Linked DNA regions of Notamacropus eugenii. The protein of the gene in region 1 interacts with the protein of each later gene in a biochemical or structural test. Links are inferred from orthologs where the notes say so. Each region holds a gene or a part of one and is shown on either strand. Other genes may lie near its edges. The genes, in order: ERBB3, SH2B3, GRB7 and PLCG1.

Region 1 (7,904 bases):
TGTTCCTTCCCTTCTTTTCCTCTGTCTACATAAACTGTAACAGCCCTAGTTATGATAAAGCTCTGAGGCATTACATGTGTCACCTTCTCATACAGGACATAAACAACTTTGTCTAGTCCCTTATGATTTCTCATTTGTGTTTATCTTTTTCTGTGCTTGTTTTGTGTTTAAATATCAAATTATCTCTTCTGTTCTTTTCATCAAGATGCTTGAAAGTTCTCTATTTCATTAAATATCCATTTTTCCCCTGCAGAATTATACTGTTTTGCTGGAAAATTAATTTTTATTTTGTGATCATAGCTCCTTTGCCTTTCAGAATGTAATGTCCTAAGCCCTCCATCCTATTTAGTGGCAGTTGCTAAATCTTGTGTGATCCTGTAGCTCCATAGTATTTGAATTATTTCTTTCTGGCTAGTTACACTCTTTTATCCTTGTCCTGGGAGTTCTGGATTTTGGCTATAATATTTCTAGATTTCATTTAGGGATTTCTTTCAGGAAATGACCAGTGGATTCTTTCACTTTCTACTCTGCCCTCTCGTTCTAACTGCCCACAGGCAGTTTTCCTTTGTTATTTCTTGAAATATAATACCTAACGTCTTTTTTTGTTCATGACTTTCCAGGAAGCTCCAAGTAGTCCAATGATTCTTATATTCCTCAATTTATTCCAATAAATACTCAAATTTTCAATTTCCTCAAAAGATTCCTCAATGTATCTCCCATGTCAGTTGCCTTTCCTATGAGATATTTCATATTTTCTTCTATTTGTTTTGCTCTTTTCACTTCATTTCTTGATGTCTTGTGGAGTCTTTAGCTTCCATTTGGCCAGTTCTAATCTTTAAGGAGTTATTTTCTTCAGTGAGGTTTTGCAGCTCTTTTACCAAGCTGTTAATTCTCTTTTCATAATTTTCTTGCATTGTTCTGATTTTTATTCTCAATTTTTTTCTCCATTACTCCCATTTTATTTTTTAAAAAGTTTGTTTTTGCTTTTTAAAAAAAAAAATCACTTTTTTAAACTCTTCTAGGAATTCTTGATGGGCTTGTATACAATATGCATTTTTCTTCAAGACTTTGTTTGTCAATGTTTTCAAGTCATTTTCTTCTTCTATGTTTATGTTTTGAGTTCACCTATCACCAGTCATTTTTTTTTTTTGCAATCAAGTTATTATTTTTTTATTTGCTCATTTTTCCAGTCTACTTCTTGACTTTGGACTTTATGTTAGTATTGGGCTCTGCTTACCTCTGGGGTGGCAGGAGATGTCAAGTGTGAACTATCTTTTATGTCTTTCTACTGCTTTCACAGCTCAGTCTGGGGGCTCTATAAATTTTCAGTGATGTGATCCAAGAAGAAGTCTGGTCTATGCTCTGCAAATTTCTGACCTGGTTGGGATCTCTTGGCTTGCATGTGGTTGAGTTTCCACAGACTGCTGCCAGACCCAGTCATAGCTCCCTAGGAGGTTCTGCAGGTTCAGAATGACTGAACCACTGGCTCCCCTTTGGTTTTGGCCCTCTGCCTTGGTTTATTCCACTGCAGGCTTATGTGCAGAACTAAAGGCTAGAACTGAGTCCCCCAACTCTGCTGTTGGGCTCAGAGACATACAGCTATTTTTCTGAAACTTGTTCCTTGCTCCTTAAACTTTGCTACCTTACAGGTAAGACGCTTGCTCCCTTCTGACCATGAAGACTCCTCTCCTCCCTAGAAATGTTACCCCAAAATAAATAATGGGCAACATAGATGCTAAATGGCAACCATTCCTGCTCCCAAAGCTAGATCAAGGGTGCCCTAGGATCTCTTTCTGCCCAGGTATTCAGTCCCCTTACCATCCTACGGCACTGGGCTGCTTTCTGCCACTGCTACTGCCATGAACCACAATTACTTTTACCTGTTGCTCTATTAAGCTCCAGACCACCCTCCACCCCAGTGTCCGCAGACCTCTTTATCTTCCAAAGCTGCCATGGACTGAGAAAAAATTATTCATTGTGAAATTTTCTTGGCTTTCTCATTCAGAATTTAATCTGGCATGCTTTCTAGGTCATTGTGGAGGAGATGGTAGAGAAACTAAGGCAAAAAAAAATGCTATTTCTCACTTTGCCATCTTGACTCTACTTCTATTAACTCTTTTTCATTTAATACAAGAATTTTCAATTTATTTTTAAAATTCAATTTTCTGCTCCAAGTTCTCTCCCTGCCTCCACCCCTCCCCAATCCAGTGAAAAAGCAAGAAATATGATACCCATTGTATATGAAGTTACATTATGAATTATATATGAAGTCATCTAAAACATGTTTACATTCACCATGTTCCCTTCCCACCCACCCCCAAAAAGGCAAGGAAAATAAAGAAAGGAAAAAAGCATGCTTCAACTTGCACTCTAAGACCAAATCCTTTATCTAGAGGTGGAAAGCATTTTACATCATGACTCCTCTGAAACTGTGTTAGATCATTTGTATTAACCATAATTATTAAGTTGTACACTCAATTATCTTTAAAATATTGCTGTTTCTGTTAGATTGTTCTTTTGGTTGTGCTCACTTCGCTTTGCATCAGTTCATGTAAATCTTCACAGATTTTTCTGAAGACAACCCCTTCATTATTTCTTACAGCACAATAGTATTCCATCACATGTTCAGCCATTCCCTCAATTGATGGGCATGCCCACAGCTTCAAACTTTTTGCCACCACAAAATAAGCTACAATAAATATCTAGTTGAATTTGTGTTGTTGTTCAGACTTTCTTTGCAGATGTTTTGGAGTCATTCTCTTCTGGATTTGTGTCTTTAGGGTTCTTTGTCACTATGATAGCATTTTACAATGTTATCCTTTTTTTTTTTTTTTTTTTTTTGCTCATTCTCCCATATTACTTCCTGACTTTGGAGTTGATATTAGGGCTAGGCTCTGCTCTCTTCTGGAGGAAATGTCCGGGGTGTTGTTGCTTTCTTGGGGTGTTAAATTCTGTGTTATTCCAGGATGTCAGGAACAGCTTAGGCTTCTGATCTACAAAAGTTTACTGTTCCCAAAGTGATCTGTTTCAGGACAAAGTCTGATCACTGTTCCCTAATTTGAGCTGTGTAAATTTCTTACCTGGATTTGGAGCTGGGAAACCAGCTAAGAACGTCTGCTGGTTCAGAGTTGCTCTGATTATTCCTTTGCAGGATTCAGACTTTTAAAAGCTGGAACTGAGGCTCCACTTGCTCCTGGACTTGAGCCATACAGCTGTTACTTGCTTCTGAACGTAGTAGGCACTCAATACTTATTCCATCCATCCATCTAATGGTATTACTTTTTATGCTTTTTATGTTTTGTGTCTTATATCATTTGCTATGTTATATAATACATATTATTTATATTACATTGTGACCTAATATAACATGTTATATATATATATATATATATATATATATGTTTTTAGTTATTCTTAGTTTTTCCCTACATACAGTATTCTACCACCCACTTCCATGCCTTTGCATGGGGCTGTCCTTTATATCTGGAATGTCCTGCCTCACCTCTTTCCTTTCGAGACCCTTCAAAACTAAAGTGAACATTTAAGTGGCACAGGGGATAGAGCCCTAGGCTTGGAGTCAGGAAGACTTGAGTTCAGATCTGACCTCAAGACGCTTACCACTTGTGTGACCCTGAGCAAATCAATTAACCTCTGTTTACTTGTTTCCTCATCTGTAAAATGGAGATAATCATAGTACCTTCCTCATAGGGTTGTTGTGAGAATTAAATGAGATAGTAACTTTAAAGTACAGTGCCTGGCACATAGTGAGCACTATATAAATGTTGCTATTATTATAGGATTATTATTATTTTCTCCAAGAGTCCTTTCCTAATTTCTCCAATCACTGGCATCATTTCATAGTTGTATTCACTCATCTGGAGGGCAGAGACTGTATCTCTCTCCCTAGCTTCTAGCACATAGCCTAACACATAGTACAGACTTTAAAATGTTTGTTGACTGGCTGAGGTTTGGACTTCAGTTGGTAGGCAACAGGTCGACACTAAAGATTAGTAAACAAAAGAAGCGACTTTGTTTACAAGGAAAAGTGGCCAGAGGAGAAGTGGACTCAGGAAGTGCTGTTCAAATGGTTCAGGTGAGTAGGAACAAAGTCCTGTACTAGGGTGATGGCAGTAGTGATAGAGACCAACCAGTCTAACTTGTCTGGGGCCCCCTTATCCCCTCCCCCCACCAAAAAGAAGGCACTAAAGCTCTGGGACACTTGGGAGAATTCATAAAGGGATGGCGGAGAGGCAGCTGTCCTTTAGATCGGCCATGGGGGGCAGAAGAGGGGGGTAGGGGAGGGGCAGGCAGCAACAGGTGCATTGAGTCTTGGCCCCACCCTGGCCCGGGTGGGTCTGCCCCTCCCCTGCTTTCCCTTCCCTTTCTCAGAGTGGGAATGGAGAGGCGGGGCTTAGGGTCTGTTCCCAGACTGGTACCCCCTCCCCTCCTCAAATTCTCCTGGGAGACTGGGCAGGCGCCGGGTTCGGAGGGGGGAAGCATCCGGAGACAGTGCAATTTCACGGAGCCTCGGAGAGGCTAGGGATCCTGCGGACCAGAAGGCTCAGTCGTGGGGTCTCATTCCCAAGGGAGGCGGGGGAGGAGCAGGAGGCAGAAGCTGCTCCCTTCCCCCCCCATCTCAAGAGGGATAAAAACACCAAAGTGGACCAACCGGCCAGGGAAGTAGGAGGGTGGGATTTACATAATGGGCGGGACCAGCCTGGTTGAGAATCCCTTCTTTATCCACGGGGGTGTGCGTGGGGGCAAGTCTTAGGAATTTTCTGCTCCCCCTCTCCTCGGGGAAAGTGAGGGTGAGCCTCTCCGTCTCTCTGATTGGGCGGAGCAAGGGGGTTCCCACCGTCTGGCCAATGAACTCGGGGCCCGCGTAAGGCGGGGCGGGCGGTGCAGGGTAGCTCAGCACGAGCCGGGTGGAATCGGGCGAGATCGAACTTCAACCCTGCGAAAGTCGGAGGCGCTGCCAGCGCTGGCGGGTCCGGGAGCGGCCGTGACTCACCCCACTCCCCACACACGTACGCACCCCCCCTTCCCTCTCTCCCTCCGCCCCCCACCCCCTGCCCTCCCTCCCCGGTCCCTGCTCCAGCTCTAGATCCAGCACCACTTCGCGTTTGCTACCTGGACGGACTGCGCCTCCGCCTGCTCCCTTCCGGGCTCAGGTGCCTTTCTCAATCCCGATGTCTTAGCCTCGGAGCCCCGGCCCGGGCTCCCTACCCCCGGCACGCAGCAGCTATGAAGGGCTTCCTGGAGCTGCAGGTATTGGGCTGGCTCCTCCACCTGACCAGGGGCTCGGAGGTGGGCAGCTCGCAAGCAGGTAAGCGGGGGCTGCGGGACAGGGGAGGTTGGGTGCTGCCGGGAGCTCCAAGTGCAGGGAGGAGCCTGAGGAACCCGGGGGCTTGCGAGCCTCGGAAACAGAGGGGTCAGTGCCTGCAGCCCCTCTTCAGTACCCTCGGGGTGGCCCCGCTCTAAAGCGCTCGAAGCTTGAACTGGCTGGACGTCCCCCCAACCCTCCACTCCCGCCCGCCTTCTGAGGATCCTCCTGGGGAAGCGATTGCTTTCTCAGTTCCCCAATCTGGTGGAACCCAGGCATTCTGGGGGTCCCAATTTGTAGAGATGATGTATTGTGTTATATTTTCTCGAGAAGTGAATCAGAATTGGAGCCTAACTTCTTTTCCCAGTCCCGTCTCCCTGGTTCCCCCGGTTTCAGGCACCGCCAGTTTCGGTGTTTTGCCGGCTCTGGGAGGAGCTAGAATAGGATTTGGGGGGGGTGGAGGGGGCAGTTGTTCCCTTGTGTTAGAAAAATAGGTCCGGGCCCCTCCCCTTTCTTGCTTGTTTGTGTGAGTGCTGGTGCGGGTGGAGGTGGGGGCGGGCTGGGCAGAGATTAGCCAGAGGGCCAAGTCCAGGTGATAGTGATAAAGAACTTCAGAAAACCACTCCTGTCTGCTTCACCCCAAGCTACTCACGAAATCTAGACTTTAGCAAATCCGACCACTGTAAAACTTCTTGCTTGCGCTGGAGACGTGAAGGAAAAGGAGGCTTAGACAGTCTGTCTCCTCTTATAGACAGAACTTAAGGAGACAGTTCTGAAAGGATTGTTCCTCCCCCCCAACCCCTTTTCTTGGGTATCTTTGATCACAGAATGCTGGTGGGATTTAAGGGGATCAAAGAATTAGACATTTCTACTGCCATCTCTCTCAATTTGGGGCTTGGTGAATTTTGTGCCCCACTCACAGTAGGGGTGAAGGGAGTGGGAAAAACACCTGTGTTTCTCCACAGTTGCTGGGTCTAAATTTAGTCTCTGGGACCTTGAATTGTGAACACTCCCAGCTGGAAGAATTGAGGAGGAGTCTGGTATAAGGAAGGGGTAGTGGTTGCAGAAAAAGGATGACAGTAGCTACCTCTCCCTCAGACTGGGAATCTGAGAAGTTACCAGCAAGGAAACCAGGAGTTCTGGCCCCTGGATCTATTCCTGGGGGAGGAGAGAAGAAGGGGGGGGTTAGTTCTGGCCAGGCCTTTCTTTATCTGGATTTTCAGCCTCTGGGCATCCGGCCTCGTCTGGGTCTCTCTATGCTCCCTTTGTCCTAACGCTGGTCAGGGGTAGAGGAATGTTGGAGTTGAGGTTCACATTGAGGATCCCCAGGGGGAGTAGTAGGAGAGAACAGTCTCTTCCTTTTCCACAATACTGTCTTCCTAAGAGGGCCTTTGATTGATAACTTCTCCCCATGTTCCTGGATAATTTGGGGACTTGGATGATTCCAACCCACCACAAGTACCTACTTTCTCCCTAGAAATGACTGCACTACTGACTTCAGGCTCCTGGTCCTTCATTCCTGCTCTTTCCCACCCTCATCTACTGCCCTTTCCTCTCCCTTTTTTTATGTGAGGTGGATTTTATTTCTGTGGGTAGGAGACAATGACTTCTAATTCTCTGTCCCATCTCCCCAAGCACACAAGAATCCATAAACATATATGTTAATGTGATTGTCTTGTGGGGACTGTAAAAGATTTTGGGGGATGTCGTTTGACATAGTAGCCCAAGGCAATGTACCAGGGTACAAAAGCATTCCTGGAGTGGTTATGGCTGGTGGGGGGAGGCTTTGAGAAAAGAGGTAGAGCAGGGGCAAAGACATCATATATTCTCACTTATTTTTTTAAAAAAATCTGTGTCTTTCCTATGGGAGTGAGGAAATTCTCTACTGATGCAGCTCAAAAACTCTTATGCCATTTACAATCTTAAAGAGTTGTTAAGGTGACTTGTCCAGAGTCACCCAACCAGTCTGTCACAGGCTGGATTTGAACCTCTGCCTTACTCTGAGGCTAGCTCTCTAGACACTAACTTGTACTATTCTCAAAGACATATTCTCAAGAACATCTCTGCACACAGAAATACAAGTCTGATTCATAGGCATGGAGGAAGGCTCTGGTGAAGGGGTGTCCTTGTTAGCAAGAGGGGTAGAGGCACTTGGTTCTAACTTGCTGGTGTATGAGTCATCTCTCAGACAGAAGCAATGCCATTCTCAGCCTTCCTTCTTGTCCCTTCCAAAATGACAATGTTGATTCCTGGGTTCATGCTGAGCTCCATCCTTTCTCCCCTCCCCCTTCTCAGTAAAGGAATCCTGAACAGGAGAGTAGTGTGGGGAATCTTTCAAGGGATCAGGACTGGTATGGAACTAGCAAGAGGGGGTTCCTTGGCTTCCATTCCCCACATGCCTTCATGCCTGCTTCCTGATGAGCTGGCAGTGCCCCCAAGAAAGAGAAGTTGCAAACAGGTGCTCTCTCTGCTCCTGCCCCCAACTCCCAACATAGACTTTAACCCACTGGAAAAGGGAGGGGACCAGAGATCAAGGGGGCAGAGATACCTTGAATTGTTCATCATTTCCTACATCAAAATT
Region 2 (7,931 bases), on another chromosome or scaffold:
ACATAAAGTGCTAAACTCAGAGCTAAGACAGACCTGGGTCCAAATCTTTCCTCAGCACCCACCAGCTATGTGATCAAGGACAAGCCACTTAGCTTCTCCCAGCCTCAGTTTCCTGATCTGTAAAATGGAGGATAATAACACACTACTTCTCAAGATCAAGTGATCTATCAATCAATAAACATTGATTAAGTGCCTGCTACGTGCCAAGCACTAAACACTAGAGGCAAAAAGACAATCTCTGAGATAACTTTTATAAAATACTTTGCAAATCTTAAAACACTACATAAATTCTAGTTATTATTATCTGGAAAAGTGGCAGACTATTGAAGGAGCCACTTTGGCCAGCAGAAAGGACACTGAACATACAGTCATGAAAGACTTAGATTCAAATCCTACATGAGCAAATCACTTAAGTCCTGTAGATCTCAGCTTCCTTAGGTGAGAAGAGGGGAGGATATTGATAGCCTGAGATTCTATGACCTTAGCAAGAGCACACAACTCTCATTCATTCATGAGAGCTCATTTCCCAAAGACTCAACAATCTTTTTTGCCTTTACCAAGAATGTTGGATGGCAGTTTTACAGGACCCTGACATCTTAAATAGGAACCATAGCCTGCCTTGAATGAGGATAGAATTCTGTGGGGATGGGAATTCCCATTTCTTTAGGCCCAGAATTCTAGGAGAGAGAGGAAAGGAAATAGGACAAGATTAAAAGAAATCAGGCTGGGATAGAGATGGGGGGAGGGGCGCACAGGGACCATAGTGGTGGAGTGGGGAGTGGCAGGGCTTCATTGTAAATTCCCTGAGGCAAGAAAGTTTTTATTTTTGGTTCTGGGACTCCACTGCCTTGCATGGTGCCTAGCACATAATAGGTGCTTAATTAATGCTTGTGGGTTGATTGATTGGTTGCCCAATGTCATACCACTCAGTAGAAGCCTGAGGTGAGTCCTATTATTCTATGATCTGAGGTTCTTTTTGGGGAGGAGAGTGGGGATAGACTTCAAGTAGTATTTAAGGGATATCCCAAGGGGTCCCCTCCAGCTTTGTACCTATGATGTGATACCTCCTGGAGAGAATAGGACAGTTAGTATTATCTCTACCTTCCAAGTGGAGAATAAGATGCCAGAGAAAACAATTCTTGTTTGCCCAGGATCAAACAGGGGCAGGAACTGAAGCCTGGCAGATCCAGCTCCATTGCTGAGATGCCATATGTTTCACTAGGGTAGACACAAGCAGCAAGTTTACAGCCCTAACCTCTTAACATTTCCCTTTTCTGAAGTTACAGGGAAAGCAGAAAGATCCCTGCTTGGTAGAGTCCCAGTTTTTACAAAGAATTCAGTGGCAGGCACAATTTTGTAGTTGGAGAACCTGAATTCCAGTCTAGACACTGTCACTTACCAACCTTTGTGATCATGGGAAAGTCATTGTATGTCACTTAGAAAGTAACAGCCTCAGTTTCCTCAACTGCAAAATGGAGGGACTTAAAACAACAATGACAATAATCCTAAATTATAATAAACAAGCTTGACCTCAGAGAACAGGTGAGAAATTGTACTTCCTGCCCTTAATTTTTCAGGTGGGCAACTATGGGTATAGAACATGGCATATACTATCTGATGAGGTTGATGTGTAAAATTGCTTTGGTTGATTTACTGATTTTTTTTAAAATAAGAGATGATTGGTTATATAGGAGAGAGAGGAGGGATATAATTCAGAAATGAAGGCGATTTAAAACAAAGGACATTTAATAAAATTAAGGTAGAAAAAATAAAATGGTATGGACCAAATGATGTCTAAGGTTCCTACCAGCTCTAAAACTGTGTGATGCTGTAGAAAGAGTGCTAAATGTCAAGTCCTGGGACCTGAGTTCAAAATCTAGCTCTTCTATTTACTGTCTTTGTGACCTAACAGGGAGAGTAATTAACATCTCCAGTTGTCAGTTTCTTCATCTGTAAAATAACCAGTCAGTTGACCTATAAATGCTTGTTAAGCCCCTACTATGTGCTACTCAATGTGGTTAAGGATTGGAGATACAAAAAGAGGCAAAATATAGTCCCTGCTCTCAAGGATCTTATAATCTAACAGGGGAGACAATAAACAAACAAATTTGTACACAAAAGCTATAGACAGGATAAACAGGAGATTAACAGAGGGAAGGCACTAGAATGAAGAGGGTTTGGGAAAGGCTTCCTATAGAAGGTGGGATTTTCATTGGGACTTGAAGGAATGCAAGGATTGGGATGGACTATAGTGGGGAGATGGTTCAGTCAGGCAGACTCACCAGCAGCTATACCAACAGTCCAGACCTGAGATGATGAGGGTCTGCATTAGGGTGGGGGCAGTACCAGAGGAGAGAAGGGAGCAAATTTGAGAGATACTACAAAGGTGAAATTTACAGGCCTTGGTAACAGATTCCATGTCGAGGATGGAGGGGAGGGGGCGGGGGCGGTGATGAGAGAGTGAGAAGTTGAGGATGATACCTAGGTTTCTATCTGAGGGACTGGAAGTATGAATGACGGTGCCCTCTACAGTAAAAGGGAAGGCTGAGTTTGGGACACATTGAGTTTAAGATGTCTACTAAACATCCAATTCCAGACACATGAAAGGTAGTTTGGAGACACGAGGCAGGTCAGTAAAGAGGGCAGAATAAGTAGACTGGAGAATCATCAAATAAGGGGGTTTGACTGGACCAGGGGTGGGGAACTTGGGGCCTTGAGGTCACATGTGGTCCTCAAGTGTAGCCCTTTAACTCAATCCAAACTTCACAGAAAAATCCCCTTAATAAAAGGATTTATTCTGTAAAACTTGGACTCAGTCAGAGGCCACACCTGAGGACCAAAGACACCATGTGGCCTTGAGGCCCCAGGTTCCCCATCCCTGGACTAGACTAAGATCCCTTCTAGTCCTAACCCTCTTGGGCAGCTTCTGGACCCCTTCTCAAAATCATGTTTTTAAATGCATAAAGTAAAACGCCTTCACATGGAATAAATGCAAAGGGGTCTCCTTGGGGTTGGTTGATCCTTGAGGCAGGAGGATAAATAGAAACCCTCTGGCGGGAGGAGAACCGATGCAAAGAAAGTAAGAGTTTGAACTTAAACTCTTTCCCCAGGTGCTCTGGTGAAGGAAAAACGATGTTTCCTACCCCAGGCCCTCTCATGTTATCACAATTTGTCACAAAGTCAAAGAATTTTGTTCCTTGGGTTGGGGGAACGATGCTATCTCAGATCCAGAGCCTGAAGGTTCTTTTGAGATCATCTACGCCAACACCACGGTTTTATAGAGGAAGAAACTGGATCTGAGAAATCAAGTGCCTGAGGTTACACAGACAGTTAATAGCAGAATTTGAACATAAATCCTCCGTGTTCTTTCCACCCAACCGCTGGGGCTTCTTGGAACCCGCCAAATAGGTGCTAGGCTGGGGGTGAGTGGCCAGGTCTGAGACACCATCATTTCAGTTTGTATCGCCAGTGCTTAGCCCAGTACCTGGTGCGTAGTAGGCGCTTAAAAAATAGTTGTTGGTTGGTTAAAAATTGATCACAGGCTCACAAGATTTAGGACTAGCAGACACCTAGGAAGTCTAGTGTCCGACCTCTTATTCTACAGAGGATGAAACTTAAGTGACTTTCCAAAGGTCACACAGGGACTAGAATTCGAATCTAGATCCCCAGACCCAACGCTCGTTCTGCGGTTGACCGAAGTCCCTCATCCCCCACCCCTACTGCTGCGGGCCAAGGCCCATTTCTCCAGATGGAGAGCAGTAAATTCCTGCACACCTGGCCTGGGGCAGCCCTGCTGGAAGGTGGGGTCACCTGTGCAGGGGACAGTGAAGGGCCTGGGTAAAAAGATCTGGGTCAAGTCCCTCCAAGGATCCCAAGGTCGGGGCATCAAAAGGAGCCCTCCTGGGGGTGGGGCACAAGGTCAGTATTGTGGGGAAGCACCCTAGGGTAAAGCTGCAGAGGGAGGGCGTTCCAGGGCAACCCCTCAGGAGAACTCTCAGTGAGGCGCCAGGTACCGCCGCACTGGCAGGTGGAATCGGGTGCTGGGTCATGGGGGCAGCATTGGGAAGGTGGGGCTCGTGAGGGGTGGGGGCAATCTCGCCACGTAGCCTGGCTCTTCGGACCCCTAAGCGCACGGCCCTGGGAGGCTTTCCTGTAGCTCCCAGCGACCAGAGAGAGGCTGAAAAGCGAAAATGAAAGCAGCCGGACAGGGTGCGGGGGTGTGCGGCAGGTCTTTGGGACGCCTTTCGACCTTCCCTGGGCTCCGCTCGGTCGCACTCCGCATCTCCTCCTCCACCTTCTGGCCGCTCTGGGGCAGCGGGTGCCCCAGACACCGAACTGGGAAGGCGGCCCCTGGGCCGGGCAGGTGTGGGGAGATCCCGCTAATCTGCTGCTTCCAAGCACTACCCCTGCTTAGAACTGCAGAGTCCCAGACCTGTAAGTCGGGGCTCCGACCCTTCCCCTGCCAGCTAATTCTCTCCCGAATCCGGCGGAGTCACATTTCCTCCACTTTGGAAAGTTTTCCAACTATTCCGCCCCCTGGGAAAGCCGGGGGAAATTATCTTCAGTTTTCTTATCTATTTGCAAGTTGGACTACCCCAGGAGAATGTAAACGCGTTGGAGCTCGGGGCTAGTTTTTCATTATTTCTGTATCCCCTTTCCCCCTCACCCGCCCGCACTTAGCAGGGGCAAAATAAATGCTCGTGGACTGTCCTGGGCCTGGCCCTGCAGGGGGCGCTTAAAGGCAGTGCAGAGCGGGGGCGAGGACAGCTGTGTACCCAGACTACACCGCCCCCTCTCCAGCCCCTGTCTGCCACTGGCACTCTTCCCCTCAGGGGAGCATCTCCACTTACCCAGGCAGCTTTCGTGCCTTCTTCTCAAGAGCGTCCATGGAGACCTTGCCAAATGCCCGGCACTGGGCGAGGCGCCCGGGAGGACGACACAAGGTAGAAGACACCACCCCTGCTGAAGGAAATTTTCAAAATATCCCGGGGAGAGAAGACTGGCACGTCTGAAAAGGGTACGTCTGTGTCCTGATACCAAGCAGAGCCAGTGAGTGACCTAAGCCACTAGAGAGTAGGTGAGTTGGGAGTGTGGCTGTAGGGGTGAGGAAAACCGGTTTCCGAGGTGGGGAGGGCTGGAAAGGGGGTGTAGGAATTTTAGACGGCCTTGGAGCGAAGGTTTGAGGTTGGGGAGGAGGGGACTACGGATGGACTAGACTGGGCAGGGCTCTGAAGGCCGACCCGAGGACTTTGACCAAGTTATTTCCTCTATACCTGGAAGAGCGAATAGCGAGTTCCACAGACATTTATTATACACCAACTGTGTGCGAGACCTTGGGGAAGGAGAAAAGATCGTAGAGTAAAAAGACCAGAGCTGGGACTCCAGCTCTGATGTTACATCAGTTGTGTGTCAACCTGCCCTTCCCTGGGCCTCAGTTTTCTTATCTGTGGAAACTGGAATATTGGCATTCCTTCCAGTGCGACATCTGTGAGACTAGTTAGGTTTGCCTGCGTTGGTCAGAGGCAGCTCTAATCCGGACAAGCGGCACTTGGAGCCAGGCGCCGCGTGTGGTTGCAGGGAGGGGGCGGTGACTCGATGGCTTCCCAGGGCCCAGGGGCCCTGACACGTGTTTCTAGGTGCCCTTGAGGGGTGTGGGTGGGCTGGGGGCAGCCCTCGGTGGAGGAAGCAGGGCACACTCAACTATCCTTCCCAGACCCCCTAGGGTGAGGGAGGGGCGGTGCTGTGGGAAGCTAGGGACCTTAACCCCGCAGATTCTAACCCCTCGGGGTGACCTAGTCTCGGAAAGGAGGCGTAGGCGCCCATCCAAATTCCTCCCCTCCGGCCCAGCGCCCCAGGGGAACTGCTTCTGCGTCCTCGGTTGGCTAAGCTTCCCGGTCTGGGGTGCGAGCCCGCAGTGACCCCCTCCAGCCCCAGCGCGCCCCAAATCCAAATCCGAACCCATAGCCGCTGGCAGGGGAGGGGACACGGCGCGCCTGGCACACACCCCCTGCAGTCCTCCTGGTCTCTAGTCCCTCGGAGTAATGACCCTTTTTACGTAACCGGCGGGAGGGAGAGAGGGAGGGACAGAGGGAGGGACAGACGGAGGGAGGCATGGTCTCTGCTGCCCGAACCTCCGCCACTGCTGCCTTCTGCTCCTTCTGTCCTCTCCGCCTTTCTCGGAGCTCCCGGCCCGAGCGAGGGCTCAGCCCAGGCCGCCGTTCGCGGCCCGCTCCAGCCGGGTTCGCGGCCGGGTCTCGCCTGGCCCCCGGCAAAGTTTGCTTGGCCCAGGGACTCATCTTCAACTGTCAAGCGCTGTCAGCGGAAATGATGAGACCTTGGCCATTTTCCGAGTCCGGGTTTCCTTCCTGAGCCCGGTGTGAGTTTGTGTGTGTGTGTGTGTGTGTGTGTGTGTGTGTGTGTGTGTGCGTGTGCGTGTGTGTGTGTGCGTGTGTGTGTGTGTGTCCGCGCGTGTGTTTTACGTGTGTGTGCGCGCGCGTGTGTGAGGAGACTGGAGAGAGAAAGAGAGCTTAAGGGGACAACTGGATTGGGGGGAGTGGGAGAGGATACGGATGACAAGTGAGACCATGGACCGGCTACACCCCCACGGCTTCTCTCTCAGGTAAGGCTCCCCAAACCTGGCTCCTAGAGAAAGGTCCGCCTCGGGGGGAAAGGGAGGATTTGGGGGACATGAGACTGATGCCCCGAAGGTGGTGGGCACTCCCTCATCCTCTTGTGCCCAGTCTTAGCTCTCCAAGTCCTCCGTTTTCGCGGTTCTCTACCCCCCCCCCCCCGCCCCAAGCTAGGGTGGTGCGGCTGAGAAGCCCCGGGCACCGACTTGGGACCGGACCCCATTCCTCTCTTTCGCCCACCACCCTCACACCCACGTGTTACAGCTCCAGGACAAGGGCGGAAGGGGTTTGCAAACCCGTGGGGGGTTGGTTTTTAAGGCACTGATGGTTTCTGGGTGGTGGGGGGGACACTGTCTGTTTAACACCCGCATCCTGAATCCCTGGGGCAAGGGAGTTAAGCTGACCAAGTCTTGGCAAAAGGGTCAGATCGTGGCTCAGGGAGAAGGTTGTTGGGAAGAGGGAGTCCTCTCTGCTATGAGTTTCTAGAAAGTGAAAGTATAGTCTGCCGGTCCCCGGGGATGCTCAGCTATTCGGTTTCTTATCCTATGCCCCTTTTCTTTTTGACAAGGAGATAAATCTGGGATGAGGTGGTAGAATAGGGCCCTGGACGGCAGGCCCTTCGCTCTTCCTCCACTCAAGCACTCTTCCCCATTCTTTCTTCTGTTCTCCAAGCACCTTTGTGGGAGTGGTAGCCTTGGAAAGGAGACCCAAGGAAAGAAAGTCCTCACCCCCACCAGTAGCAGCTGAATTATTTTCCCCAGGACCCAACCACTTTTCCCAAACCTGGTTGACAACTGTGTATGTCTCTCAGGACAGGCTACTGCTGTCTGTGGGTCAGAGTATGTTACCAGAGGTGTTTCCCCAGGAGAGAAGGTTGTCTAAGCTTTTCATCACTCCCCACAGAATAGGGTATTTTAGGTGATTGTCATGTGTCTCTCAGAAATCCCCTCCTGCCAGTCTTAGTGTGTTTGGGGGGGACATTTGAGGATTTGAGGAACTTGGAGTGGGGGGCGCACATCCAAGTCCTGGCTCATTTTCCTGATTACCATATTTCCTTGTTTCTCTTCCCCATCCTCTTTTGACATTTCCCCCCCCCCACCCACTTATGCCCCCTCCCCCTCTGCTCCCCATCCCCCAGCCTGGAGATAGTAGAGGAGGGGGCCCTGGCACCTAAATGCTTGCTGATCGACTGCCTGACTGCTGGGCCCCAAGATGAGGAAGGGGGAGTCCCTCGGGTGTCTTGGATCAGCCTAGAGGAAGAACAGGCACTCTACTGAAAGATCTTATCTCTGTTTGTCTTTT
Region 3 (7,451 bases), on another chromosome or scaffold:
TCCATGACACAATAAAAGGTTCAGAACTCCTAAGGCTAGAGATATGCAGAGAGAAGACCCAGAAATAGCATAAAAAGCCAAAAGACACAGGGAGAGGGATGTTGCTAAGACAAGGATAACCCTAGACAAAACAACATAGAAGAGATGGAGACATGCTCCAAACTCAATGATAGGAGCTTTGTAGATGAGGGGGCAAAGCTGACAATCAGCCAGCATCCCTAGGAGGTCCTTTCCTCAGTCTAATTGGGTGGGTGGGGGGAATGTCCTTATCTCATTATGTGTTGGGGGTGGTGGGTGGTGGAGTAGGGCCCTCCAACATACCCACCTACTCCCCTCCCTCTCAGGCCCTGAACATAGGCACCACTGAATGGCATCCCCCATGGAGGGGGATGGGTAAAAAAGGGGAGATAGTTCTGCCAACATCTGGGGGTGGGGTGGACAAAGGCTGACAGGGTAGGGTGGAGGTACTCTTTTTAAGGGATAAATAACTTAGTCTACCTTACAGTATATTACTTTCTAGCCTGTGGGCAGAGAGAAGACCAGACACAGGGATGAGATGGAGGGGTGAGGAAATGTTGGCTCAGTTGTTTCTCCACCTCCCTACTCCCTTCATTTCCTGATCCTACTTTCTGGAACAGGGAAATCAGGATCATGGCATGGAGGGAAAAACTGAAAGTAGGTGAGGTGAACGAGACAAGACCCAGAGGGGCAAAGTCGGAATGGCCAGTCTGGCCTCCCACACCTACCAAACTGGTTTGGAGAATACAAACAAAGGGGGGAAAGGTTCATGAAGGAGGGGAATTGCCCTCAGGCATCCCCAGACTTCCGTACTCCAAAGAAGCTCATACTCCGCCAAAGCTCTCCGCACCTCAAAAGTATTTCCCTCCCACCCCAAGTTCCCCGGAAGCTCTCTTCTCCACCCCCTTTCTCTCCCCAGCCTCCTTGTTTACTTCCTGAAACTTGCCCCACCTGGCTAGCAAAAGCTGGGAGAGGAAAGTCTGAGGGTCAGGGACCACAATATTAAATATTCTAAGTCCTACTCTAAACATCACAGTCTTGAAAACTCTCAGTGAGGCACTGGAGGTCTGGGAGACACTGGGAGTTTTGTAGGGCAGGGGAAAGATTGGAAAAAATTATGTAAAGGTTGAAGAAGTAGGATTGGACAATGGAAAAGGGTCCAGAGGTTATTTGGTAGAGGTCCTCCCTTCTCTCCATAGGCTGAGGTAGTCCCTGCATCCCCATTTGCGGGGAATGAATCTCCCCCTTGGAGTAAGAATCCCAGATTCTCCCTTTAAATGAAATTTGGGAAGAAAAGGGGGAATCTTTGAGGTGCAACTTTGGGAGATCACTGGTAAACAATATAGAAACCCAGGATGACATCTTCCGTGACCTTTGCATCAGGTAGGAAGATACCAGGAAACTGAGGTTCAACCTACCCACAAGAAGATATTCACAACAAAGGTGTGTCTGCCTCTGAAAGGGGGAGGATTTCTTTTAAAGTTTAATTTGGAAAATATGCAAAAGTGGCCAAAATTTGATTAGGGTTAATCATTATTGGTTATTTACCCGGGGGATAGGGGGGTAGAGCTCCCATCTCCCCTAAGCTGATTTGGGGGGGGAGGGAAGCAGAGTCCAAAAGTAACAGATTTCTTATCCCCAGTCTTTATTAAAGCTGCACTAGGGAAGTAAAATTGAAATTCCCCATGAGGAGAAGAATGTATAGCAAGAATGGAATCCAACTATCCTGCATCCTTTTCAGAGTACAGAGAGCTCTCCTACCTCATCCTACAGTGGGAAATGAAGCAGTAGGACCCCCATCTCTCCATTCTCCAGTCTCTAGCACGGGGACCCAGACATCCAACCTCATAATTTCCTTCTTTCTCCCCAACTTTCCTTTCATTGCTTGGTGGACTGAGGTGGATAGGCTCCCAGCAAAGCTGCCCTGAAACTGGGGTATCACTGCTGAGTTTCCCTTGTCCTCCACCCACATTCTTTGACACAGCTAGAACCCAGTTAACAAGATCCTTGAGATTTAAGCTCTTTTGCTGGGGAGCTGGAAGGTGGGGACCAGTGTTGAGCCCATCTGCAATGAAAGGAAAGTTAGGGAGAAAGAAGGAACAATTAATTCCCTCCTCCCAAAACTAATCCTAATTCAGTGTGCCCTAATCATTTTACTGATCCCCCAAATGAAGTTTTCAAGAAGCCCAGATAGACCCCTTTCTAGACAAATCTTAGGGCATCCCAATCAGGGCAAGCTCACAGTAGCTTTGCAGAGATGAACAGGAATGGGGGCTTACTGTGACACTGAGCCTCCAATTAATGCCTCCCTCCAACCCCCATCTCCCTTTTAGGAAGGGAAGGGGGAGGGCTGTCCAGGGGAAGCAGAAATCATCCAAATGAGAAAAGATTCCCTATTGCCGCCACCCTTCAGCTGACACAATGCTGGCAAATATTCTCCCCACAGAGAAACAGAAGAGACCTTTAGCAATGGAGGAGTCACAGAGGACCCAAAGGAGGTCATGGAAAGAGGGGAGAAGCAGGTGAAAGAAGAAAACACAGGCAGGCCGGAAACAAAGAAGGAAGGATCTGGGCAGGAGGGCGTCCCCAGGTATGTCGGAAGAGACAGGAAAAGCTGCCGAGCTCGGCCCTTACCTGGACCCTGGGTGCTGCTACACATCTGGCTGGGGCCATCTGTTTGGGGAGGGACATACCTTGCCTTTATCCACCTGTGTCTCCCCGCCACCCCAGTACCCTTTGCAGGTTCCTTAGCCCTCCAACCTTCATAGGTTCCACCTGCCATCATGGGAACGGGGCTGGGGTTACGACACTGCCCACTAGACATCAAGTCCACCTGTAAGGGGCCCTGGCACAGACAGCAGCTACAAAGATACTGAGGATAAGGGTGAGTGGAGGTTGTTTTCTTGGATATTTCTCTTCCTACCTGGGAAGCCCCAGTATGAGAGGCTCAAATGCCTAGGGTCCAACGTCCGGCTCTGTCTGGTGACAGCCGAGGGTCCAGGACACCAGGGTCAGATTCCTGAGTTTCTCTTTCCAGAAAATGTGCTAGGACGGGGGAGGGGAGTAGAGAGGTGGTAGAACCGGGAGGCAAGGCTGGAGAGGCGGTAAAGTGACTGGGATTGGAAAGGTGGAGGCGGGGCCTGGAGGAAGGAGGGAGGAGAAAAACAAGAGAATACTCCTCCGGCCACTAGGGTGGGGAGTGTTTGTGCTATTATTATCCAGGCCTTTGGGACCTAGGTGTCCAAGGAGGTGGGGGGAGGGAACAGGGGAGGGGCCCAGGTGTCCAGAGCAGCCAGCAGATCCCATTCACACTAGAGGGGACACTAAGGTTTCAGCTCCCAAGAAGAAGGGGGAGGGAACAACCAACCAACCAACAGGGGGCATGGTCTGGGGCATGGGTGCCACCCTCCACCATCCCCACCCCTGGGGCAGAGGGCAGATTCTGGTTTCATGTCTAGGAGGTGCCTGACTCTCTAGGTCTATTCAGCCCTTGATCCCCACTTTGACTTTCCAGAGCCATCTATGCTTGGTCCTCCCTGGTGCAGTGGATAGGGCTGTGGGCCCCGGGGTCAGGAAGCACTAAGTTCAGACCTAGCCTCACTTACCTGTGTGACCACAGGCAAGTCATTTAACTTCTGTCTGCCTCAGCTTCCTCAGTTTTAAAAGGAAAATAATAACAGCACCTACCTCGAAGAGTTGTGAAGATCAACACAATTTGGGGCACAGAGGTACTTAATAAATGTATTTTTTTCTCCCTCCTCAAAGCCCTGGATTCTACTCCCAGCTATGGCTGGAAATCACAGGATCCAGGTCCCTCAGTTCGCTTGTTAGACTTGGTGATCCCAAAGGCCCTGTCCATCTCTGACATTCTATTAAAATGGACGCTGACCCCCTATAGCTCCATCAACCTCCCTGAGACGGATCTTTAAGTGAGTTAGGTATAATACTAGAAGCCATCTCTAGAGTATGACAATTGGAGTCATTGACCAGTGTGGGAAGGGAATGTGATAATGATAATTGTGGGGCCAGGTGAGGTGAGCTTCCCAGGATCTGAAAGATGAAACCAGGGCTGGTTCTGCCAGCTAAGTGTTAACAAGAATGAGCTCCTTCGGAGACAATGTATTTAAAATAGAAAAAACCAATGTATTTGGAATCAGGGCTTTGGGTTCAATCTTGGCTGTGCTACTTTCTGGCTAAATGGCTTTGGGCAAGTCACTTCATCTGGCCTTCAGTTTCCTCATCTGTAAAATGGAGGAAGTGGATTAAATAGCCTCTGAGGTCCTTCCCATCTTTAAATCTGTGATCCAACATATGTATATCCAATTAACCCCCAGAATCTCTCTCATCCAACTCAACAAGCATTAATTTAGCACCTACTATGTGCTTATTACAAAAATGGGGGAATTCTACTAGATAGTCTCTGAGAGGTCCCTTCGACCTCTAAATTAACCCACTACATATCTATAGATAGATAGAGATAGAGAGATAGAGAGATAGAGAGATAGAGAGATAGAGAGATAGATAGATAGATAGATAGATAGATAGTGGGTTAATATATATATATCCTACCAGCCCACAGAATCCTCTCCATCCAGGTCAACAAGCATTAATTCAGCACCTACTATGTGCTCACTATAAAATGAAAACACTATCATGACTAAAGCGCTTAGAGCTGGCTATTTGGTAATTCTGATTTCCCACTCATTCCACCCTACCTTTTCTCAGCAGGACTCATCTGGATTTTCCTTGTAACCTGTTTCACCTCATTACAAATGTTAAACGGAGAGAATGAGCAGCCCCCCCCCCCGCTGTGGCTTGTGAAATAAGCCTGGATATCACCATCCTCCTAGTACTAGCAGCCCTGTGGCTCCTAGACCCTCTGAGGGCTGTTGATGCCCTGTCTGAACTGTGCTACTATATTAATAATAATTATCTCATATCATCATCATCACTGCTGACATTGCTAGAGCATTTGAAAGTTTTCAAAGCACTTTCCATTATCTGATTTGATTCTCAAAACAAATCCTGTGATGTAGGCACTTGGAGGCATTATTACCCCCCATTTTGTAGGTAAGGAAATGCAATGTTTTCTTTTCCTTTTTTTAAATGTATTTTTAATTAAGTGTCTTCTCTCTGCTCCTATACTGTCAGTTCCCCTGAAGACAGGGGTGGAGCCTGCCTTTTCTTGGTATTTGTGCTTCTCTGAACAAATACTTTGGAGCATGGGTTAGAAGGGGGCTCAGAGGCCACCTGGTCCAACCCCCCATTTTACAGATAAAGAAACTGAGGCCCATGGAGGTTCAGTGACTTGCCCAAGAAGGTAGGAAGCATCATCAAGTGGGATTTGAAACCCAGATCTGACTCCAGTACCTGGGCTCTTTCCACCTCCTTAATAAATGTTTGTTGAATTTGTTTCTTCCAACGGTGTAAGTGCTTGTTCTTTAAAGCTGTGTAATTTGAGCATGATGCTGAGGAGAAAAACACAGAGCACCAGGGAAATCTTGATACAGAGACCTGGGAGGACTTGGCACCCTCTAAGGTTCAAATGAAAAAGAACTGGAAACTGTTTCTGTAACTGGAGGGATCCAGGATTGAACACATACTTTCTCTCTCTCTCTCTCTCTCTCTCTCTCTCTCTCTCTCTCTCTCTCTCTCTCTCTCACTTTCTCTCTCTCTCTCTCTCTCTCTTTATTCATAAGATTAGAGAACCATAAAATTCCAGATCTGAGGAAACTGTCTGACCCAACTGCCTCATTTTACAGAAGAGAAAACAGTCCCAGAGAGATTAAGATGCTTTCCCAAGGTCCCCCTTCAACTCTACAAGAAGTTATTTAAGTTCCTACTTTATACAGAGTATCTTGCTAGACATAGAAAGTAACAAAGTTTAGATAAGATCCAGTCCCTGCTCTCATGGAACAGTCCCTAAAAATGGAATGAGAAAATTTCAACAACTATAATGTGTATTTGTGATAAGAAAATCCGAGAGGTGCAGAACAAAGGACTATGTGAGGAGAAGATGCTTTTGTACAAGGATGAAAGAGGGAAGGCTTGAGGGAGGAGATGTGGGCTTTAAAGCATGGAGAACCGTAGCTTGACCCACAGGATAAGTAGCTAACCTTAAAGACAGAAGACTTATATGCAAGGCTCCATAAGGGCTGTGGAACCCCTTGGCCAGTCACTTACTATCTCAGTGTTCTAGGCAAATCTTTAAGACTAAGTCAAAGAGGTGTCAACCTGCACAGGTAGAGGGAGTTTGCTCACCTGAGTGTTCCCTGTACCTGTATAATCACAGCTCCAGCCTCCTATTCCTGAAAACATGGGTAGACACTGATGCCATATACAATGAGTGAGAGAATGTGGCCCAGGTTTGTGGGAGAATGTTTTGTGGATACTTTTAGAGAGCGCTAGGTCGTGAGATGGATACCTGGAGTCAGGAAGATCTAAGTTCAAACATGACCTCAGATACTACCAGCTGTGTGACCCTGGGCAAGTCACCACCTCTGCCTGCCTCAGTTTCCTCATCTGTAAAATGGGGATACTAATACTCCCTAGCTCCCTGGGTTACCATGAGTCTTCAGTGAGATAATATTTGTAGAGCACTTTAAATCGTCCTATAAATTCCATTCACTACCTTTGGGCAGAAATTCCACAGAGGGTCGCGGGGGATGATTTAGTTGTAGAGAACAGCGTGAACAAAGGCACGGAGACGAAAGTCCGGGGCTTGCGGTGGGAGGCCAGAGTGCAAGGAGAGTTCCAGGGCTTCAGACTCCCAAGACCCAGACCTAGATCCCGGGACAACCCAAGTACCAGCTCCCCACAGCAGAGGGCGCTGCATCCCCGCCAGCCATTCAGAGGACAAGCCGGGCCCTGCCCCGGCCTAGCCCCGCCCCCCGATCTGACCCGCCTCCGGACGGGCCCCGCCCCCAGAACGGCCCCGCCTCCGGACTGGGCGCGCGTGACGTGACCCGGCGCTACGTCACACCCGGAAGCGGCGCCTGGTCTACAGGCTCCGTGTTCAGCCGGTCTGTCTGCCCGTCTGGCTGGGCTCGGTCCCGGCGGGGAGTGTGGCCGAGCGGAGCGAAGCCATGAGCGGGGAGCCCGGGGCCGATCTCGAGGAGCCCCTGCCGGGCAGTGGGGTCCGCATCGTGGTGGAGTACTGGTGAGAGGGGCTCGGGGGAGGGGATCCCCCCTCCTCTTTTCCCCTCCCCTCCTCCTCCTTCCCTCCCCTCCTCCTGCCCCTCCCCTCCTCTTCCTCCTTCCCTCCCCCTCCCCTCCTCCTCCTCCTTTCCCCTCCCCTCCTCCTCCTTTCCTCCCCTCCTCCTGGCCCTCCCCTCCTCTTCCTCCTTCCCTCCCCCCCCTCTTCCTCCTCCTCCCCTCCTCCTCCTCCTCCCCTCCTCCTCCTCCTCCCCTCCTCCTCCTCCCCCTTCCCCTCC
Region 4 (7,502 bases), on another chromosome or scaffold:
CTCAGCCCAGATCGAGCACAAGGGAAAAAGAGGCCTCAGCCCTTCTGTAGTCTGCCACAGCCAAAGTTCTCCCTCTTTAGGCCCAGAATCCCCAACTCACTTCAGACACTCCTTCCTAATTAACTGCCCATTCTGAGATTCTTTCTCCCACCAGGTACAACCTCCCCTTGGAAGTTCTTTGGGCATCTCCTTTGAGTATCACTTCTTGGCTCCCATCTGGAAGGAGGGAGATACAGTTCTAAGAAAAGTCCTGGATATCATTCCAACTACCACCCTACAATGAAGGAGCCAATTACATGAGTGTAGACCGAAGCCAACCCCCTTGGACTGACAAGGAGTATGCTTCCTTAGAGTCTACCAGACTAGAAGGGCTGGATTGATCAGAATGCACCCTAATTAAGGGAGGTACCCCACTCTCCTAGCCAGGGAGCCTTCCTTATAAACTGGGCCTAACTCCCAGAAATTCCCCCCTGCCCCTCTCAGTGGGCCTGACCCAGGCTAGGCTGACATTCAGTGTTAGGACAAAAGGTGCAGCAGGAAGGAGGGAGCTAGGGGAGGCCTTCTCTTTTCTCCCTCCCAGGCCTTCCCAAACACAGCTTCCTTCCCTTTGGGATCGGGAAGAGGAGGGAGGTGGGGAAGGCAGGCGCCAACAAGCTGGCCTGCCGGCCTCCCTGCCCCCCCCCCCCCACTCTAACAGTAACAATGTAACAACCTAAGCGATACAATGTGGCTGTTTCTTTCCTCTTCTGGCCCACAGCTGAGAACCGCCGGGAGACAAAGCTACCCCTCTTCTTGCCTGGGGGGAACGTCCGCGGTAATCCTTATCCCCCAACCCCGGGATTCATTTCCCCCGCTCCTCCCCCCCCCCCCCCAAACACTCTGGTTATCCTGAAGGAGAGAAGCACACACATCTATGCCCTGGGCCTATAGTCAAGGGGGTGGGAAGGTGTCTTTCAGAGCACCTGGGCCCAGTTTTCCCTGGATGAATCGTCATAGCAGACAGTACCTGATCCATTGCCTGCGAGACGAATAAAAATCGCTTGGGTAAGGGTGAAGGCCCTTAGCCCCTGCCCCCTCCCCAAAGCAACCAAATTCTGAGAAGCAGCAAACGACGGCGGGAGAGAGCCAGAAACGCACAAAGTTTGCATGAATATCTCCACCCCCAGCCCTGGACAAACAGCTGGACGGAACGATCCGAGTTCTCCTCCAACCAGAGAAGGTACGCAAAGGGGCCAGGGCCGCAAACACCTACCCGCTCCTTCGATTTTATCTGCCCCACGACTCCACGTGATCTGCCGGGTCTCCAGCTTGACCTGGAAGGTTTTCCTCTCTGGTCGCTGGGATTTCTTGGAGTAGAACAAGGTCATGACGGTGCCCACTTCCAAACTCCTGCAGAGGTGCAGAGCCTCGGCCTCCGACGGGGCGCAGGACCCGCAGCCGTTGGCGAAGGGGGCCCCCACCCCTGCCATCATTCCGGGGATCTCCTGCTCTCCTCCAGACCCGAGTTTGTCTCAAACTGCAGGCCGGGGAGCCCCGGAGGGCGCTCAGGAGGCAGCGTCTGGACGAGCGCTGCGTCTGCCAGCAACAATCCAGCAATCCGCGCCGCGGCAGCGACTCCTGCGGGGGCGGGGAGGAGGAGGAGGAGGAAGGGGCCGAGTTAACCAAGGAGGCGCCTGGAGACTGATGCCCCCTCCCCCAGAGCCCCGCCCGCGCAGACCCCGCCTCCCCGGCCCGAACAAAGACCCCCCCCCCTTCCCGCCCCCAGCAGGCGGGGCTGTTCGCCCCCCACCCAGGAGGCGTCCTTCCCTCCCAGCCTCCCGAGGGTAGTCCTACGGACCACCTTCCAACAGCCCGCACTGTCCGAGTCTGGCACCCTAGCCACTTGTCAGTCTTCTGATCTTGCAAGCCTCTGCATCGATTCGAGGCCGATAAGATGTCCCGAAAACTCAGGAAGTAATGGCTGAAAAAGAGCAGAGCAGCGTCTCACACTCTGTCACACACACACTCTCTCTCTCTCTCACACACACACCCCGAAACACAAACCCAGTCGCACACCCTGCAATAGTCCTTCGTACACCCTAAAATACAGCCACACACACCCCCCACCCCTCACCCCCCACACGCAGAAACAGCCACGTACAAATAATGGAAGTCACAGAGTGTAACAGAACCACACAAACAGTGGCACACAAGTCCCTGGGACAGTCTTACACAAACAGTCGCACAACTACCCAGACCCACCCTACAGCCTGAGTCAGTTTCACATCCCGGCCACAGCTGCTACCTGGGCCTGCCTTTCCCTCTGTCTTCCCTCTCTCTCTTCCCTCTGCTTGAGTGGGGTGGGGAGGAAGGGGCTGATGGGGAGTGAGGGTCTTTTGCCCCTAAATCAACACGTGCATTGGCTCAAGAAGTGGGGGAGAACGGAGCCGAGCTGCAGGGCGGTTCCCAATCTGCCTCCCTTGCTTCCCGGCCTCTCCCTGTCTGCCAGTCTTTCCCTGTCTCCTCTCTCTTTCTCTCTCTCCCCCCCCTCCCCCTCTCTCTGTCTCTCTCTCTCTCTCTCTCTCTCTCTCTCTCTCTCTCTCTCTCGGTCTCTGGGGCAGGAGCCCGGCAGGGTCTACTAAGTGCCCCCGGGCTCTCGGGCCCCCGCTGCCCCCGGCCTCCCCCGCCCCACATCCGGTGGTGTTCGTTGCTCTAGCTGCAAAGGGAGAGGGGAGCGGGGAGAGGGGCCGGGCGGGCGAATAGGAACGAAGACGCTCCCCCTTCCCGGCGCTCAGAAAGACAAAGCGGCCGGGGTGGGGGGGTGGGGGGAACCCAGCCCCTTAAAGGGACACCAGGCTTAACTCCGGGAGGGAGGGGGAATTCCCCTAGACAACGCCCCCTCCCTCGCTCACCTGAGCGCGTTTAATTCAGCTCTGCAAAATGGAAAGGGAGGAGAACCGTGTCGAGTAGCTGGTCGCAGAGCACAGATACGACCCTCTCTCTCTTTTTCTTAGGGGGGTAAGAGGGTGGAGTAAAGGACGGAAAAGGGGCTTGGGAAGGCGGGGCCACCTGTTGATTGGCCAGGGGGGTAACTGATTGACAAGCTCTCCACCTCCACCACCCCCTTTTCCCTTTGAGTGTTGGAGGCGGCCCTGGCTGAGGTCACTCCCTGATTGTCCAGATTAGGTTTTGCCTACCTTCTCCTCCCGCCCCTTGGGGTTTGCGGATTGATTGATTAATTCCCGCCCGGTACCCGGCTCAAGGCCTGCCTTCGCATTTTCCCCACTATGGTGGTCGTCAGGGACTGGATCTGTGATTTCAGTGAAATAGGGAAGGCGCCTTCTCAGTTTCTTAATCTTTAGATGTGTGCCGTGGACTCCTTTGACAGTCTAGTGACGCTTATGAATTCCTCAAAATATTTTATTTAAAAATTCATAATTATAGGAAATTTTATTTAGGGGTCAGTTAAAATCAAAGATTATATTTTTTTTTCCATCCATGTTCACAGTCCTCCTAAAATCTATCCATGGAGTCCAACCCCATGTTAAGAAACCTGTCCAAGACACTGGTTCAGGGTCAAATTGGCAATATGTATCTGTCAGAACTTGACTCATAGCTAGCTCTCTATCCTCCAGACCGCTGTGGTCTCTCCTGGTCATAGATTTGGACCAAAAATGTCAAAGGTGGGGTTCAATCATTTTGTTGTTCAGTCATTTTTCAGTTGTTCAATCCTTTGTGACCCCACTTGATTTTTGTTTTATTTTCATTTTGGCAGAGATACTGGAATGGTTTGCCATTTCTTTTCCAGCTCATTTTACAAATGAGGAAACTGAGGCGAACAGGGTGAAGTGACTTGGTCACACAGCTGTTTGTATGTTCGTTCTTCGTTGCTGAAGAAGACCATGGTCACACAGCTAGCTAGTAACTGACCCCAGATCTGAACTCCAGAAGGTGAGTCTTCCCGACTCCACGGCCAGCGCTCTATCCACTTCACCACCTAGCTTCCTGGTTTAATCCAACTCCAGGTCAATGGGAGAGTACTACATTGTGCCTAGGGCGCTCCCACAGTCAATATGGAAATTCCATCCAAAAGTCAATGTGTAGAACACTTCCAAGTGAAGAATTCACCCCCTAGGCTGAGGTGAAGATTTTCTACATTCCTAAATTCATTTAACAAACATTTATTTGTTTATGGTCAACTATTCACCTGCTGCCGGCTTGCAGGGCTAGGCCCCTGGGAAAACAAAGACAAAAACTCTTGCTTTCTAGGAACAAGTCTTCTGCTGGACAAAAATCAGTAGAAAGTAATTTGAGGGTAAGGGCTTTAGCACCTGGAAGGGAATCAGAAGAGGCCTCAAGTAAGAAATGGCACTTTAACTGAACCCTGAAGGAAGTTAGAGATTTCCAAGAGGCTGGATAAAGTCATGCATTCCAGACTTAAGGGATAGTCTAGGCAAAGGCCTGGAGGGACGATTAATCAATCAATAAACATTTATTAAACATCAACTATGTGCCAGGTACTGTGCTAAGAGCTGGGGGATACAAAAGGAGACAAAAGACAGTTCCTTCCTCCAAGAAACTTACAATTTAATGGCGGAGACATCATGCAAACAAATATATACAAAGCTATATACAGGATAATAGGAAATAATTAACAGAAGCAAGGCACTGGAATTAGGAGCCACTGGGGAAGGATTCCAGTAAAAGTGGGATTCTAGTTGATATTTAAAGGAAGGCAGGGAGGTCAGTAGTCAGCAGAAGAGGGAAAGTATGGAGTACTTTCAGAGAAAATGGCTGTAACTGAGAGATGGAGGATCTTGTTCATGGAAAGGAGGCCAGTGTACCTGGATCCAAGAGGGTAGAGAAGTAAGGTGTAAAACGACTGGAAAGGCAGGAGGGAGCTAGGTTAGGAAGCGATTTGAATGCTAAATGGCTCGTTTTGTATTTACTCCTTGAGGCAATAGGGAGCCATTGGAATTTATTGGCGGGGGAGGGGTGGAGGGCTCTGAGGCAGAGAGCTAGGGGTTTGTGTGTGACAGGACTGGACCCGTGCTTTAGGAAAATCACTTTAGTGGCTGAATGGAGGATGGAATGGAGTGAAGAGACACTCACCCAAGACAGGCAAACCCACTAGCAGGCTATTGCAATAGTCCAGGTGTGGCGTGACAAAGGTCTGCACTAGAGTGGCAGCAGTCAGAGGAGAGAAAGGGACTTAATTAAGAGATATTGCAAAGGTGAAATCAATAGGACTTGGCAACCACTTAGATATAGGGAGGGGAATGGGTAAGAGATAGTGAAGAAAACCAGGATGACTCCTAAGCTGCAATTCAGAAGGACTGGGAGGATAATGTTATCCTGGAAGGGGAAGAGGGGGAGAGATAATAAATTCTGTTTTGGACATGTCAAGTTTAAGACATCTATGGGATATCCAGTCTGAGATGTCTGAAAGACGGTTGGAGATGCAATATTGGAGATCAGCAAAGACTGAGTGAGGCAAGATAGGTAGATTGTGAGAGTCATCAGAATAGAGATGGTAATTCAAACCTTGGGAGCTGATGATATCAAGTGAAGAAATATAGAAAAGAGCCCAGGACAGAACCCTGAGGGCCACCTATGGTCAGAGGGTGGGATCTGGAGGAGGAACCAGCTAAGGAGAGAGATGATCAGTCAGAGAAGTAGGAAGACCAGGAGAGAGTGGAGTGCTGAAAATCTAGAGAAAAGAAAGTATCAAGGAGGAGAAAGTGATCAATAACAGTGTCTAAGACTGAGGAGGGCTCAAGGAGAAAGACTGAGGTGGAATGTGAGATCTGGGGAACACCAAGTAGACAGTCCTGATTACTCCTTTTCCATATACTTTACTGAATCATGATCCAAGCCCTGCTCCTCACTGTGAGGACCACAATATAGATGTCTGTCTCTGTTTATGTATGTATGTATGCATGCATGCATGTGTGTATGTATGCGTACATGTGTGTATATTCTCTGTTACATAGTCCAAATCTAGAGGTTCTTAGATAACTCTGGTCTTTCAGAGAATTTCAGTTTTTATATATATATATATATAAAATTGATAAGGGTCCAACTATAAAATGAACTCTTCTGCCTTTTAAATTATAAGGCAGATACTTTTAAAAATGGGGAAATAATTTCATTTCTTTACCATTATCAATATAATTTATGTATAAAATCCAATTAATCCTTAATTAATAAAGTCATAATCCAATTTTGAGAACTTATCACCAAAACATACTCAAAGCCTGATTTTCCATGATAAATAAATTTGGAAGACAATCATATGCATCTGTATATAGTTCTTAGAGAAAAAAAAGCCTAATCCTGTTGCTTTGGGATTTCTGATTACAAGTGTTTTCCTCACTCTAACATTAATTAAACTTCTGTTTAGTCCCTGACACCTTCCTCTGGCTTGCTCTGTCTGGCTCTGGCCATTCTCAGGTTAGAGGCCAGTTCCAGTCCAGGTTCACAGGGCCAGATGAAATAATACTTGCAAAGCACTTAGCTCAGTGGAACATACTTAGTGACTGCTTATTCCCTCCCTAAACTGCTCCCTTCTCTTCCATCCACCCATACAACAGCCCAAGTGATGTTCCTAAAGTACCGGTCTGACTAGTCACTCCCCTGCTCCAAAAGCTCCAGTAACTCTTTATTGCATCTAGGCTAAAGTCCAAACTTCTCTGGCACACGAACCTGGCTGGAACCTACCTTTACAGACATACATTATTCCCTTTCCCATACTTTTTGGTCAGCCCAAACTGATCCTTTTTTCTTTGCTCACACATGAGATTCCACATCCTTTCTGTGACTTTTGGCAAAGTGGATAGAGCACTGGCTGTGAAGTCAGGAGGACCTGAGTTCAACTCAGGCCTCGATTACTAGATGTGTAACTCTGAGCAAGTCACTTAACCTCAATTGCGTTCACACCAAAAATAAATAAATAAATAAAAATACAGGTTATCGTTACCCATGATTGTAATGGGCCACTCTTGTCTTCCAAAATCCTTAGCTTCCTTCAAAGCTCAGGTTAAGCCACCTGCTATCACTTATTGATCCCTGGTCCAACCCCAGCTGTTAGTGCCTCCCTCTATTTTCATTTACTTGGCATATATTTTGCATTTGTACGTACACACAGAATGCTTTCCGCAATAGAACTTAGTCCTTAAGGGCAGAGGCCATTTTGGTTTTGTCCTCATATTCCTGGTGCCTCAAGCAGATCCAGACATTTAGTAAGTGTTTAATAAATGCTTGCGGATTGGTTGAGTAATATACAACAAACCTGGAAAGGTTGTCCAGAGCAGAGACTTTCAATCACATTCAATTCACTTCAGTTTGATAACCTTTCAATAAAGGCGCTGTTAGGCATGGAAGTTACAAAGACAAGAAGGAAACTCTCCATCCTTCCAAAAACCTGAATTCTCCAGAAAGATACACAACATGAAAAAGGTGAGTATAATATATTTACAAGCTAGGATGTGATGGAAGCCAAAGAGAGTTCCAGACAAAGTTAT

The links.
Region 2: the proteins of ERBB3 (region 1) and SH2B3 form a complex in vitro, tested with the Homo sapiens proteins (2 studies listed by BioGRID and IntAct, with this or other methods). The link is inferred for Notamacropus eugenii from reciprocal best matches to the Homo sapiens genes ERBB3 and SH2B3.
Region 3: the proteins of ERBB3 (region 1) and GRB7 form a complex in vitro, tested with the Homo sapiens proteins (2 studies listed by BioGRID and IntAct, with this or other methods). The link is inferred for Notamacropus eugenii from reciprocal best matches to the Homo sapiens genes ERBB3 and GRB7.
Region 4: the proteins of ERBB3 (region 1) and PLCG1 form a complex in vitro, tested with the Homo sapiens proteins (2 studies listed by BioGRID and IntAct, with this or other methods). The link is inferred for Notamacropus eugenii from reciprocal best matches to the Homo sapiens genes ERBB3 and PLCG1.

The regions. Positions count from the first base shown.
Region 1 is NC_092874.1:231,336,248-231,344,151, forward strand, and holds the start of ERBB3 (receptor tyrosine-protein kinase erbB-3), read left to right. Parts: upstream 1-4,892; 5' UTR 4,893-5,244; coding exon 5,245-5,326; intron 5,327-7,904. UniProt on the Homo sapiens protein: Tyrosine-protein kinase that plays an essential role as cell surface receptor for neuregulins.
Region 2 is NC_092875.1:34,823,312-34,831,242, reverse strand, and holds the start of SH2B3 (SH2B adapter protein 3), read left to right. Parts: upstream 1-4,930; 5' UTR 4,931-5,017; exon of another isoform or gene 5,018-5,077; intron 5,078-6,101; exon of another isoform or gene 6,102-6,619; intron 6,620-7,931. UniProt on the Homo sapiens protein: Links T-cell receptor activation signal to phospholipase C-gamma-1, GRB2 and phosphatidylinositol 3-kinase.
Region 3 is NC_092873.1:355,266,925-355,274,375, reverse strand, and holds the start of GRB7 (growth factor receptor-bound protein 7), read right to left. Parts: upstream 3,016-7,451; 5' UTR 2,942-3,015; intron 2,692-2,941; 5' UTR 2,678-2,691; coding exon 2,653-2,677; intron 1-2,652. Other genes in the region: MIEN1 (migration and invasion enhancer 1), read left to right, coding at 7,104-7,177. UniProt on the Homo sapiens protein: Adapter protein that interacts with the cytoplasmic domain of numerous receptor kinases and modulates down-stream signaling. Promotes activation of down-stream protein kinases, including STAT3, AKT1, MAPK1 and/or MAPK3. Promotes activation of HRAS.
Region 4 is NC_092872.1:423,910,359-423,917,860, forward strand, and holds the start of PLCG1 (1-phosphatidylinositol 4,5-bisphosphate phosphodiesterase gamma-1), read right to left. Parts: upstream 3,005-7,502; 5' UTR 2,892-3,004; intron 2,814-2,891; exon of another isoform or gene 2,285-2,813; intron 1,961-2,284; 5' UTR 1,841-1,960; exon of another isoform or gene 1,838-1,840; intron 1,618-1,837; 5' UTR 1,473-1,617; coding exon 1,253-1,472; intron 1-1,252. UniProt on the Homo sapiens protein: Mediates the production of the second messenger molecules diacylglycerol (DAG) and inositol 1,4,5-trisphosphate (IP3). Plays an important role in the regulation of intracellular signaling cascades.